Caenorhabditis elegans: one gene and its partner. The protein of the gene in region 1 interacts with the protein of each later gene in a biochemical or structural test. Each region holds a gene or a part of one and is shown in the gene's direction. Other genes may lie near its edges.

Evidence for each region. The genes of interacting proteins can lie anywhere in the genome.
Region 2: of the proteins of npr-5 (region 1) and flp-34, one has a biochemical effect on the other in vitro, tested with the Caenorhabditis elegans proteins (one study listed by BioGRID).

What each region holds. Positions count from the first base shown.
Region 1 is NC_003283.11:276,465-283,662, reverse strand, and holds npr-5 (G-protein coupled receptors family 1 profile domain-containing protein), read left to right. Parts: upstream 1-1,946; 5' UTR 1,947-1,958; coding exon 1,959-2,107; intron 2,108-2,891; coding exon 2,892-3,083; intron 3,084-3,267; coding exon 3,268-3,424; intron 3,425-4,085; coding exon 4,086-4,292; intron 4,293-4,388; coding exon 4,389-4,617; intron 4,618-5,330; coding exon 5,331-5,488; intron 5,489-5,622; coding exon 5,623-5,696; intron 5,697-6,293; coding exon 6,294-6,429; 3' UTR 6,430-6,677; downstream 6,678-7,198.
Region 2 is NC_003283.11:1,027,380-1,035,110, reverse strand, and holds flp-34 (FMRF-Like Peptide), read left to right. Parts: upstream 1-1,706; 5' UTR 1,707-1,725; coding exon 1,726-1,781; intron 1,782-3,458; exon of another isoform or gene 3,459-3,526; coding exon of another isoform or gene 3,527-3,582; intron 3,583-5,288; coding exon 5,289-5,405; intron 5,406-5,875; coding exon 5,876-5,941; intron 5,942-6,542; coding exon 6,543-6,605; intron 6,606-6,949; coding exon 6,950-6,965; 3' UTR 6,966-7,217; downstream 7,218-7,731.

The sequences.
Region 1 (7,198 bases):
TAAACAAATTATATGGTTAATTCTCTAAACATTTTTTTTCGATGTTCCAATTTCCCTTTAAAAATTGAAACATCTTTTGAATACACATATGGTAAACACTACTAAAGTAACCTGGAATTTTTCCATAAATGATTAACGGGAAACGGTAACTTTCAGGCTCTATTCAAAGTTTTAAAAAGTTTTTTTTAAGCAAAAATCATTATTATTTTTTATTTCTTCATAATTTTTGGATTCAAAAAGTTGAAATTTACCACTGTAAAAATTTTCATATAATTTTTTAACCGCACAACACTGGTAGGTAGGCACATTTAAAACACGCGCCTGTCTACCTGAAACTTTTCTAAAAAATTCCCATCTCACTGCTTCTTCTTATATCGTTATTCTTGCTCCTCAAACTCAACACCCCCCCCCCATTGAGCTCACCCATAAAAACCTTCTAAACTACCTGCCTACCTTCAAATTCCCACACCAGGTGATAGTCTTCTCGTAGTGTTCTCAAATTTCACTAGACATACTGCCGGCTCACGCAGTTTTTAAGAATCCTCCTTCTCCATCTCCACTCGCCGTAAAAACGTCAAAGATTATCGCATCTCCGCCCTATCTCCGTCCAATTGCTCTAATCTTGTTGAACCTTATTTCTCTCTCTCCTTTCTTCTCCATCTTTTTTTGCTCTAAAAGCCAAAAGTGTGCTCTGATAATCTTATCATATCATTTGCAGAATTTTAGACTCCAATACTTTATAAAATTTTGTTGTTTCATTAGTAAATGTTCTAAAAATACCTCGAAAAAACCCCGTCACTTAAATGGAATTGGAATTTTTTTGGCATTCGAAAAAATGTTTTAAAACTAAACTATCATTTTTGAACTTTACTTTAAACTTACAAATTTGTTATTAAAACAAAGCCTATAATTGTGGTAGGCAGGGAAGGCGCCTCAGGCAAGCCCAATTGCCTGATGCTTACCTGAAAAGTTAGGCCCAAGAAAAATTGGTAGTCAAAAATTGGTAGTCATATAATAATGATGCGAGTTTCCTGTGACCCCCTTTTACATATTTCATTCATCAAATTGCCATTGAACCAAACATTAGTCACACTTTATCCACCTTATCACGCTGAATACCTCCAAATTTTGGGTGAATTGTTAGAAGCTAGCTTTATTCCTAGGAGCCATGTGACTTTTTTCAAGCTTAAATTTTAAATAATTGATGTTTTTTAATAGGTCAAAAATGGACTGGTGATCGGTCAAGGGAGAGCTTTTCTTTATTTAATCTCTTTGTTATCTTTGTCAAATTTTTTTTGTGTGACGTACATATAATAATTTATTTTTACACTTTTTGTTGGAAGCCCATAGGTCAAAAACCAAGGATTTACTGGGAAGACTGAGACATTTAGATAATTTTTTTGATTTTTTAAAGGTTTTTTGTTTAGTCCTAAAATTATGGAGATTATTCTTTGTTTTTTGAACTACCTGGCACATTTTAAAGCGGGTTTCGAGATTGATTTATTTAACTTCATTAACATAACAATTTATGTAAAATTTGATTTTTTTTTTGAAAATCTAAAAAAAAGAATCTAAAAATATAAAAATTTTACTTCCCGAACAATAGCTCAAAATTTTTACCATTTTTCTTTTTTTTAGAAGAAATTTCCTTTTTTTTTTCATCGACTGAAATTTGATAGAAAATTGGATTTTATGATTAATTTCCAGAACACGCTTTTCGATTTTCCCATTTTAGAAAAAAACATTTTTCGATTTTCGAATTTAAAAAATTTAAAAACTCTAAAATTTTCAACGATATTTTTATTTTATGGATTTTATGCATGTAATTTTCTTCAAAACGTTTTTATGTGATTTTGACTTTTTTGAATTTTTTTTTTCAAATCCTTTTATCGATTATATTACCCCTCTGAAAGATTCTCTCTTTAATATCAAATTTTCAATTCCAGAACCTTCGATGCATGGTTAGTTCGGCGGCCACCATTTCGACCATTTCAACCACAACGACTCCCTCCACCATCAGCAACGTTATCACAAGTCATTCGAACAATGGCTCGTGCATTCAGATCGCTGAGGCGATTGCGGCACAAGGCATCGATGATATTACTGTGTAAGTTTTGGGTATCCTGGATGGATTTTCTAACTTATAATTTCCAAAAAAACCTGTCAACTTTTCTCACCACAAAAATCACAATTTCCGTCATAGTTCAACGATCTCATCTTTTTCACCCAAAACCGCTCGAGAGACTTGTCCTCAAACATTTCAACTTTTGACATGTGGCTGACGAGTGACATGGAAAAGTGCTCTCTTTCTCATTTTCCTTGGAGAAAAATCAATTGGCAAATTTTTGTTATCATTATCAGTGTGAGAAAAGTTGTTGAGAACTAGGGTGGAGAGAGATAGATGATACAGTTGTTGTGACATCCGACAGCTGTGTGCTCTTGACATTTTTTTCAAATGTTCTTGAGCTGGAAGCATCCATGAAAATTAAATGGGGACATTAAACTGGCGATCGCAGGGAAACAAAAAGAGAAAGTTTGAATACCTTAGATAACTTAGCAGCCGACATTTCAAGGGTATGTCTAACGTCGTTGCTCTTCTAGATTTAGCAGCCGACATATTACTGTAATGAACGACGTCCCTCCTCTGTCACACTAAAGCTGTAAGAAAGTGACGTGGAACATGACCGAGAGATGTCTGCCGCACTGTGTGGTCACTTCCTTTGACAAGTAGCGGTAGACACCTCGCGGGCATGATTGGCGTAACTTTTTCTGCCACGTGTAGCACCCGACACCTTACGGTTTGTATGACGTCATTTTTTTGTCTCACGTGCCGGCCATACTCAAAGTCCTACCCTCTCCTCCCCTACACTCAAAAAATCAAATTTTTGCAGAGACTTTTACATCCGATCAATCTTCACATTCCTCTACGGGTTCCTGTTTGTATTAGGCATTTTTGGAAACGGCGGCGTACTATGGGCGGTGGCGAGAAACAAGCGGCTCCAATCGGCTCGCAACGTATTTCTGCTCAACTTGATCTTCACCGATTTGATATTGGTGTTCACAGCGATTCCAGTCACACCATGGTATGGATTTTTGTGAAAATTTTGAGGGAAATTGTTTAATTTTTATAACCTAAACTTTTACTGCAATGAAAATTGAGTAATTTTCAAAAAAAATTGTTAAAATTTTTGAGCAAGTTTTTTTAGGTGAATATCTCCTGTAGAATATGTTATGAATTTTTTCTTTCAAAAAATTCCCATTTTCCAGGTACGCGATGACCAAAGACTGGGCATTCGGGTCAGTGATGTGCCATTTAGTTCCTTTGTCAAATTCGTGTTCGGTGTTTGTGACGAGTTGGAGCCTCACTGCAATCTCCTTAGATAAATTTCTGCATATCAACGATCCCACCAAACAACCAGTTTCTGTAAGTTTTTTTCGAAATGTGCTAGATATTTCTGAAGCTTCATGAATATTCTGAAATGAGCTAGAAATTTCTGGATAGTTCTGGAATTTTATTGTAGTTTTTAAATTTTTTTTGGATATTATTGAATTTTTCTAAAATTCCTTGAATTTTCTGCAAGTTTTCAAATCTTTCTGGAAGACTCGAGAATTTTTTCTGAAGTGTTCTAGAAATTTCTGTACTACTTCAGACTTTTTTTTTGGAAAGGTTATACATTTTTTATTGTTTTAGAATTATCGGGAAGCTTTCAGAATTTTTTGAGTTTTCTGCAACGCTTTAAAAATTTCTGGACATTAAATTTTTTTTTGAGATTCCCATAATTTTCTAGAAATTCCTTGAGTTTTCTGGGATGTTTTATAATTTTCTACAAGGTTTTAGAATTTTCTGACAGGTTCTGTAATTTTTTTGAATGTTTTAGAAATTTCTTGAAGCTTCTTAAATTTTTTGGAAGGCTGTTAACATTTCAGGAATGTCCAAGAGGTTTTTGTTTAAATTTTCTAATCTTGAAGTTTTTGGATTTGTCCAAAAAATCTAGGAAATTCTGGATAGTTTTAAATTTTTCCGGTTAAAACTCATTTTTAAAATTAAAAAAAAAAACCATTTTCGAATTTCATTTTCTTTCCAGATTCGTCAAGCGTTGGCAATAACATTTCTTATCTGGATAGTCTCAACACTGATAAATCTACCGTATCTTATGTCTTTCGAGCACGTCGATGGAAGCTTTTACGTTCAGCCCGGAGAAACTCCATACTGCGGGCACTTTTGCGACGAGGCGAATTGGCAGAGCGAAAATAGTCGAAAGATTTACGGAACTACGGTTATGTTGTTACAGGTGAGCAAAAACACGCTGACCTAACAACCATAAAAATTTTGCAAACCTAAATTTTTAAAACTTTTGAAATTTTCCTACATACGTCCAAATTTGCAGTTCGTCGTGCCGATGGCAGTGATCACGTATTGCTACTTCAAAATCTTGCAAAAAGTGTCAAAAGACATGATCATCCAAAATGCTCAATTCTGTCAATCACTGACACAAAAGCAGAGAAGTGATGCGACGTCACGAAAGAAGAAAGTGAATTATATTCTAATTGCAATGGTTGTCACATTTATCGGGTGTTGGTTGCCTTTAACATTACTCAATTTGGTCAAAGATTTTAGTGAGTTTTTATTTGTTTTTTGGAAAAAAAAATCGTAGTCAACTGTTTTGAAAACGCTAACTATAATTGACAACATTTTCTGCTCAATTTTGTTTTTGACTGTCTTATATTAAAATTAACTTATTAAAGGTTGAATACGGCCCAAATGACTGAAAACTATTACTAAAATGACCAAAAATTATATATAAATTTTTAAAAAAAGTTTGAAAAGTTGTTTAGCTCAACTCGAAATGTCTCAAAAATTCCGAAATTTGTAAAAATTGGTAAAAATTTACACCTTCGCTGAAAATGAGCCATTTTTTCCAAAAATAATCGCCCAAACTTTTTTTTTGAGAAATTTTCAAAACGCCTCACTACAAAATTTGGTAATTTTGGGCCATTTTTGGTCTGAAAAACGAAATCTCTTCTCAGCACAGCACGTTCAATTAGTCGTAACATGGGCTCTTAAATTGAAAAAGGTCAAAATGTATAGTTTGTAAAAATGAGCAAAATGTGGTTAGTTTATAATTTGGTGAAAATTTATGCTGCTCAATCCAAGTCGGTGTAATGTTACGAAAAGGAAGCCTACATAAAAAGCTTCTGCCTGTGGTAGGTCTATGTAGAATTCCTGCTGTAATTCCTAGTGTGAGCGATTAAAATGTTCGAAAAAATATTTGCCGTAGTTTTCGAAACTTATGTTCAAAATCACTACACATTGAAACCAAAATTTTCAGAAAAAGAGCCCGAATGGCTAAAACGTCAGCCGTTCTTCTGGGCAATAAATGCTCACGTCATAGCCATGTCCTTAGTCGTCTGGAACCCTCTGCTATTCTTTTGGCTGACACGAAAACAAAAACGTTCCGGACTGTCAAAAATACTCAACTCAACAGAGGTGAGTATTGTAAACTTCTTCAAGTCCCCTTGTATAAAGTTTGCTCCTAGCCGTGTGCTCCTGGTGTTCTTCCCGTTTTCCACTGCTTCCTTTGTGTCCCCCCTCTCTTCCTCTGAGCCGCCTTTTGTTTTCAGATTGTGTCCTCGTTTGCCAGTAGAGTGAGTAACTCGATTCGGCGGTCAACGTTTCGGAGAAACAATATTGACAGGTACAGGTTCTCTTCTAACTTTTAAAAAACTCTCTAATCCTCTAACTGCTTGACTTTTCTCGAAAAAATTCTGTTTCCTGGTCTTTTGTACGTTGTTCAAGCTTGATATGGGGTACACATCTCCTCTTTGCGATGGGGCGCGTCTGCCGCGCAGTGCCGTCATGGGTCGTGTACTACTCGTGGACTTTGGAAATTTTTTGGAAATTTTTTCGGGTTTAATTCTAGTTGGCAGAGGCTGGACCAATCGCCGTTAAATTTGCAAGTTTTGAGTTTTTGAATTTATTAAATGCTCTAAATAACAGAGAAAAGCGAGCCATACAAATTTATAGCTAACAAACAGAAAAAATGTTGATTTTCCCGTTTAAATGCGCTTTTTTCAATCCGATAATGCAAGTGCGCTCTACCGAACAAATTAGTGCGCCATGATATCAGTTAGTTGAGCGTAATTTCGAGACTCGATTTGCATGAACCACATAGTCTACTTCCGCCGCAACCGACATTTTCTGGGTTTTGCTAATCCTACAGCAAACCCGGGGGGGGGGGGGTGTCCGCCGCTTCACTAAATACCTTCATATCTTTGAAAATTGTATTTTGCAGGGTTCGAAAAAAGCAGGTGGTTCTGGATTGCGAGGGATCCAGCTACACGACCTCCTCCCGACCTCTACTCATTCGGACAGATGTGCAGGCAACTCTTTCTAATGGCTCGACGAGTACTACCCGCGAGATGCTGTAAATTCTATACGTTACTCCCCTGTGTTCATCTTGCCCGTCTCTCGAAAAATTCCATTATCTTTATTTTCTGTTCATTTTTTGCATAACGAAACGTGCGATTAATCCGGGTCCAGTTCGCTCCGCTTTTTCTCCTCCTAAGACAGCAACCCCACAAAAATCTAATTGCCTTTTTTGTATTTTCTTTGTTTTCTTTTCTTGTTTTTTTTTGTGTCAAAATAGCGTCACCTAATAAAGATGCACGCAAAGAAAAATGGGATTATACAACAGGGAAACGTCTTGAAAATGCACACCGAGCAAGAGGCAAATATTTCTGTGTCTACGAAAATGTAGGGGTGATAAGAGTCCTGAATCACAATTTTAGCAGCACTCGACACTAACCGAGTTCCGGTATTCATCAGATCACCAAACAGCTAAATAGAGGAACCCGGCAGATGTAACAAAAACAAAAATAAGTTTTTTGCATTACTAAACAAATTCAAAAAAATATAAATACAAAAACAACAATTTAAACGCAGAGTATCATTTTCCGGGAATTTCCTTTGAGAGATCAAATATCATGAAAACAATTATCTACTAATTTACTAAAAATTTTAAATTTCTTTCATTTTTATCCGAGAAATTTATCTTCACGAAAAATACTTATTTTAAAAAAACGTACTGTATTGCTCCTACCGTACCATTATTGGCTGTAAAAACGCAACTTTAAATCCAAACAAAATATGTGAATTTCAATTCTTTCAGAAAAAAATATAACAGATTTTTTAAAAATT
Region 2 (7,731 bases), 750 kb from region 1:
AAAACAACAACTATATTTGCACAGGACCTTGTAGGGCCTAGAAATTTCTAAAGTTGTTAAACTATTTCTAAACCAAAACGAGTCCCAGTTTTCCAGTTTACGAAATTTTTTGTTGTTAGATAGTTTTGGTTCTTAACCTTTTTTCTAATTTGTCAATACCAAAACAAATTCATCAATCAGGTGAATGACGCTTAGACGATTCTGATTGATTAGAAATTTTTTAATTAACCTTTTTGGTTACTTGGAATTGATTAGAAAATGTTTTGGCCTTATGGTGAACTAAATAAACGGTGCAAAACTTCAGTCAATTTGCCTTGTGTCTTCAAATTTTCATGGGATCTCTGAAAATTTACAAAAACTCTACCTAAAAACGATATGTTTACCCAAATGTAGTTCTCACAACAATCTATATTTGGGATCTCAAAATTATTTTTAGTTCTCTAACGTCATTTATTCTCACTGCTAATTATGAAATATGTACGAGGAAATTTCGTGGCAATTTTTATTTCTCGAAAGTTCCAAAATTTCCATTTTCCCATGGTCAACTGTAGTAAAGAAATATTTTAGAAAATTGACGTCACACTCAGCCGAAATTACGGTAGAATTTTTTTTTGAGTTTTTTTAATTGAAGTCAAAAAAGGGAAAACTAAATTTCCCCTTTCGCCAATTTTGGAGGTCAACCCTCTTTTTTTTTGGAAAATTAGATTTTTTGCCAATAACTTTGTCTATATAAAATTTTTGAAAAACCTGAAATATTCTCAAACATTTGAAAATTTGAAAATCTGAATGTATGAGTGTATTAAGACCAGAGGTGCGCGGTAAATATTTTTACCGGCAAAGTCGGCAATTTGCCGTTTTTCGAGTTTCCGGCAAATTCGGCAAACCGGCAATTTGCCAAAAACAAAAATTGCCGGAAATCCGGAAAATGGTCGGAGTTGAAAATTTCCGACAAATTCGACAAACCGGCGATTTGCCAAAAATTAACATTTCCGGTTAATCGGCAAATTGCCGGAATATAGAATTTCCGGCAAATTCGGCAAACCGATAATTTGCCAGAAATGAAAATTGTCGGCTAATCGGCAAAATTTTGGAATTGAAAATTTCCGGCAAATTCGGCAAACCGGCACTTTGCCGAAAATTTTGAAATTTGCAGACCACGTGCTTGATTTGCATCAAGTTCTCATGCCCTTTAAATTATTTTCTCTCTATACAGATTTCCTCATATACATTGACATCATGCCCTCTAACAACAAGAATAAAAAAATTAAATATTAATTTGTATTCGAATTCGGAAATTTCCTTTTTTTGCGCTTTGTGTCTCAAATAATATGCGGTGCTAATGAATTTTTCATTCCGAAATACGACGGACTTGTTGAAGGATTTCCTGAGTTTTCACAATTTTACGTGTATTATTCGAATTTTTACAGGAATCTTGCAGTTTCTGACTCTGGTCCAGACGTGGCCGCGAAAATTAGAAAATTCGGCCAGGAATTTATTTTTGATATTTTTTGTTTTTTGCGGCCTCTAGTATGAATACTGTATGCTAATCTCGAGGTTTTTAAATTAAAAAAAATACTCATGGCCGAGTTTCCAATTTCCTAGGCCACGTAGCAGCCGCATTTCACCTCAAACTCTCATTTTCTCGGAAATTTTTGCTGAATTCCTTTGAAATTCAGCTCAATCTCTAAAAATTTTACTTTCAGGTACCCCCGTTGCAGAATAAAAATGCACAGCTTGATCACAGAATTGCTCATTTTCTTCACAGTTCTTCTTTCTGTCAGGTAATTTTTTTAATTATTTTTTAAGACAATTACATGGTTCATTTCAAAGCTCTAAAGAAGATTCTAAAGGCTTACAACTAGAAAATTTAACCTTGGCAAGCAGGTAGGTACTTGAACTTTTTTTTGGTACAATATTCCTAAAATTCTTCAAATAATCTGAGCTCTTTAGCAAACAAAAGTTGTCAAAATCTATGAAACTAGATCAAAAATTGGTTTTTGAAAAGCAAAAACGAATCAAATTTCATTTGTACCAGGTGAAGGGTTTTTTGATAACTAGATCAACATTTTATTTATGCAGAATCACTTTTTTTATTATGAAACTACATTTGAAAAAAATGTATTCAAAAATATGAGGAAGCAATTAGGCTTTCGAAACTCGCAAACATAGTATTTTTGGAAGGTCTCGCAGTAAAATTCAAGTGACGTCATACCGATGAATTTCCCGCAATTTTTATAGGTAAAACCGATATAGATTACTATATGTGACGTAGAAAAATATAAAAGTCGATAAAAATTACCTTGTTCGAAATTTAAATGTGGACGGGTTTTATCTTTCTCGTGGACGCGTTAGAAGGAGACCTGCCTGCCTATGTGCCTACCTATTGCCTACCGCCGCCTCCAATAAAAATGCATATTTGCTAATTTCTGTCTATTTTCATTTCCATTAAGTTTCTTCATGGGGTTTGCTTTGAAGGCAGGCAGGCAATTAGGTGCCTGCTGTCGGAAATTGCATAGCATCAACAATTTTTGGAAAATTTGAAATTGAGGAAATTTACTTTTTATTTTTATTTTTATTTCCAAACAGAGGGATGGGGCTCATTTACAAAACTCATTTTTATCCAAAAAAATTTTTTGAAAATATTTTTTTGGAAAATTATATAGAAATGTAGAGAAATATCTGTTCTTTCTGAAAACAATTTTATCTTTATTTAAAATGTTTGAGAAATTGCCGAAAAACTGCCTCAAAGCCGGCCGTAATGCACCTAGGGTCACTGACTCTATCGGCACATTTTGACTTTTAGGTGGGTTTTGAGCAGCTTTTTGAATTTTTAAAGAAAAAAGTAATACCATTATCAGAAAGTACAAATGTTTTTCTATATTTCTGTATAAATTTTCGAAAAAAATTGCCGGAATTGCTAAAATTTTTAGAAATTTCAAAACTATAATATTTCAGCTATTTCAGAAATTCCTGAGCCCACTCCCTCGTAGGAACCCAATTATGAAATTGTAATTTTGGCAGAGAGGGAAAATAATTTGTTTTTTCGCAAATAAAAGTGACGCGGTGATGCTTTCAAAATTGAAATATATACATGTATATATCTGTGTATATTTTTCTGTTTTTCCATATTTCCCTCCTCGAAAACCGCTAACAAATTCTATCCGGTTACCCAATTTCGGTTTAAAACCATTCCATTTAATTGGCACCACATTTCCGTTTAGCTTCTTCCTGCTTTAAGCCTAAAACCTAATTTACCACCCAAAAAGTCGTAAAACAATCGTATTATTGTCATGGATTCATCGTATAGTATATAAAAATACCGTAGCTGTGTGTGATGACGTGGCAACAAGAAAAAATTAAAGAAGAATGTGATGAAAGGCAGGCATCATTTCCTGGGAGCACCCACCATTAGGCGCCGCCCACTTTTGGCTCGGCGAGCAAGAGGGGGGAGAAAGCTCATTCTGTTTTCGACACCCGATACATACACTCACACACATTTTCCACTACTAAACATATTTTCTAAAACATGCAGTTCCAATTTTTGATGGCTCTGATTTTTGTTGCTTTGGTTTTAACTGACAGGTTGGTACTGTGGGGGTACTGTGGGGGTACTGTAGGGGTACTGTAGGGAATGGTACTGTAGATTTTTTTTGTTGAAAGTACGGTAGTTTTATTATATGATTTTTTTTAATTTGAAAGTTGTTGGTTATGAATTTTTTGAATTTTTTTAAATACGAAAATTTTGTTTTAAAATTTGGTAAGAGACCATATTTCTGTTTACTGTGATCCTACATTATTTTAACATTACTATAGTGTATTACTGTAGTATTACTGTAGTATTACTGTAGTACCTTTAACTGAACCAAAATCTATAACTTAATACATTGGTTGGGCCAAAAATATTTTGCAAAAATTTTTTTAATGATTTTTGTTCAAAAACTATTTTAAGGGTGCAGTATCATCTAGGATAATTAGAAAAAACTCAATATTTTTCAAAAAAAAAATTACTATAGTCTCATTAAATATATGTGTTAATTTGTAAGTTATAAGGTTTTTTTTTTGAATTTTTGGAAAAAAGAAAAAAAAATCCAAAATTTGGTTAAAATTTTTTGGGTCGAAGTTTGAATTTCTGAGCTTTTTTTTTAATTTTTTGGATAAGCTTATGTTCATTTCAGTTTAAGACAATTTTTAGAATCACAAAATTAATTGGGATAACTTTGGAAAAAAATCAGAACAATTTTAAAAAATCTAAAAATTATAAAAACTTGATGTTTTCTAATTTTTGAACTTACTACTCAGTTACTTACTCAAATTTAAATCTTTTCGAAATCTAAATTTAGCTTGTCTGCGCAAAACATCATGGCAGGTGAATTTCTGTTTGAAAAAAATGTTTTCGACCAAAAATTGCAGTTCAACTTTTCTCAATGACGTGGCAAAATTGAGATAAGTAGGATTTTTTTCATGATCTTTTTTGAAAATCCACAAAAAAAAAGTAATTCTGAAACAAAAGGGGATTAATTTGGAGTATTAGTCAATGCTCATGAGTAATAAATTGTGAAAAAGTCAACAAGGAAGCATCTCAAAACAATCAAAAACTAGGCTTAATCCCCCATCTAGATTTGGATCAACAAATTTTTGATAAATTCAGATATGTAGTAATACTGTTAATAGTTGAACCAAAAATTCTAAAAATTGAAATTTTTTTAAAAATTTTTTAAAGTTTTAACCTGTTTCCTATTTAGAAATTTCATACATTTTGAATTTCGAACATGATGCATCAAAAACTGAAATTTCACAAATCGCGACGAGACCCACCAAAACTTGGGCATGCGCCTTTAATACATTTCTGGGCGTAGTTTAAATTTAAATTTGAAAATTTCAAATTTCCGTTCATTTGCGCTGGAATTAAAAAAAATCGTAGTCCCTGTAAACTTTTTTAAGAATGTATATAAAAAATCCTCGAAAATTTGGAAAAATTATATAATTTTTTAAAACAGTTATATTCGGTATACTCACGTGGCGTCAAGCTGTCCCATTACGGTTTGATCTACAAAAAATGCGGGAATTTTCTGCCCAGAAAAATGTGACGTCAGCACGTCCTTAACTATACAAAATCAGTTGAGAACTCTGCGTCTCTTCTCCCGCATTTTTTGTAGATCTACGTAGATCAAGCCGAAATGGGACACTCTAACACCACGTGTATACTTAGACTATGTTATGATATTCAAGTAAAAAGGATTACTGTAGCAATAGTTTCAGCTGTGTCACGACATAAAAAAGTTTTGCAGCGTACTATCCCTGCCACTGGAGAAAAAAGCAGACATTTCCACATTTGCATCAGCTATCAATAATGCTGGACGGCTTCGATACGGCAAACGATCGGACCCCGCAATGTGGGAAGAAAAGTGAGTACTGGGAAATTTGCGCGTAAGATATGGTGCATCGAGGAACACCAGATTTGACGCGCAGAAATTTGAAAACTAGTTGGTCATGGAAAAAATTCTAGACGCTGGTTCAAACCTATGCGATTTCTAAACTTTTTCCACAATTTGGAGCCCAGCGATCGGTACGTAGTGTGCACTTTTTCTATCTTTTCAGTTCATTTTTCTTGAAAATTTAAGTTTTTTTTAACATTTTCAATTTCCGAGTGACATTTTTCAATAATTTCAACGCACTCCAACCTTTCGAAATCCAATAAAAGTGTGTGTTTTGACCGGAAATCTCAAATTTGTGTCTAGCAAAAGGAGATGCTCTTTACAAACTTGTTTGCTCCAGCAACAACCCACCACTTTTCTTCGAAATCATCACGTCATTTGAAATAAGAACTTTGCAATTATAAAAGTAATGTAGCCTATGAGAAATTTGTGATTTTCAGTAATGTCATCATTCCATCATCGGAAGATCAGTACCTCTACTCGGAAGGACGTTATCCGTACGCATTGTGAGTTTCTCACTGGGGTAAAAGAACCTAGGCAGGCTTATAGCCTAGGTCTATAGCCTAGACCTATATTCTAGGCCTACAGTTACCTACAGCTTAGCCGAGACCTATGGCCTAGCCTAGACCTATAGCCTGGCCTAGGCCTATAGCCCGGCCTAGGCCTATAGCCTAGCCTAGGCCTGAAAATTGAAGAACAAAATTTAGGAGGCAGGTGAAATTTTGAAGTAGTAAATATAGAATAAATTAGTGATTAATCAAAATTTCACCTGTTTGTTCCTGCATTTTGGAACGTAGATCAAAATTTGGAACTAATTGAAAGTGGATTAGCGGAGGAGTTTTATGACGTGGGGGCGCTTAAGCTTCAAAGCTATAAAAAGATGTTTCCGAATTTTCAAGATTTAAACCCTCTCAACAAAATACAATTTTAAAATGTACAATTCGAATGACAAATGGTTGAATAGATAATTAGAAATTTGGCAGAGAGTTTGAAAAAAAAAGGACATTTTTCTCGGAATCAGAAAGTCGTGGCGTTTGGTCGGGTCATTGGGATGAAAATTTTTCAAATTTTTTGAGGAAATCCTCCTGAAACTAAAAATTATTTCAGAATCAAACGTGCGCTGAACAGAGACTCCCTGGTGGCTTCTCTCAATAATGCGGAACGATTACGGTAATTTTTAATTTTATTTTTCGAGATTACGCCTATGGCCTACGCCTATGGCCTACGCCTATGGCCTACGCCTATGGCCTACGCCTATGGCCTACGCCTATGGCCTACGCCTGTGGCCTACGCCTATGGCCTACGCCTATGGCCTACGCCTATGGCCTACGTATATGGCCTACGTATATGGCCTACGCCTGTGGCCTACGCCTGTGGCCTACGCCTATGGCCTACGCCTATGGCCTACGCCTATGGCCTACGTATATGGCCTACGTATATGGCCTACGCCTATGGTCTACGCCTATGACCTACGTCTATGGCCTAAAACAAAATATAATCCATTTTATTTTCAGATTTGGCCGTAAATAATTCCATCACGTCAGCCCGTCCGTAGCCGTCTCGTTTTTTTTTCTAAATTTTCTCTCTCGAGGTTTTGTTTTTATTTCAGATATTTAATTAATTTATTTATTCTCTAAAAAATTTTCCTCATTCAAAAATTCGCTTATTCAAATTTTTCATCATTCACCATCTTCCTGTCTTGTATCAAATCAGTCCCCCCAACTCGTTTTTATTTTTTATTTCTTTCTCAAAAAAAAATCAAATAAAGTTTGTGAGTCTGTTGTTTTGAAATTTATTTGATCTAAAAAGAGCGGGAACAGAATGGTCGAATAAACAATCGGGATATTAGTGCGCCAAAATTTTTTTTGGTTTGAATTTTTGATTTGAATATGATATTTGTGGACATTGAAGTTTGATCTTTTTTTTTGTCATAGGCGTAGGCCATAGGCGTAGGCCATAGGCGTAGGCCATAGGCGTAGGCCATAGGCGTAGGCCATAGGCGTAGGCCATAGGCATTGGTCAAAGACGGTTGCTATAGGCGTAGGCCATAGGCTTAGGTAATAGGCGTAGGTAATAGGCGTAGGCCATAGGCGTAGACCGTAGGCGTAGGCCATAGGCGGAGGCCATAGGCGTTTGCCATAGGCGTAAGTCATAGGCGTAGGCCATAGGCTTCGAGTGAATTCAGAATTCTCAATCTCAAATGTTTATTTTAATTTCCTCAGAATAAACTTTTGCCAGATGTCAGATTAAATGAATACAATTTCGAATGAGTCCACTTCGAAAAAAGTTAAGAACT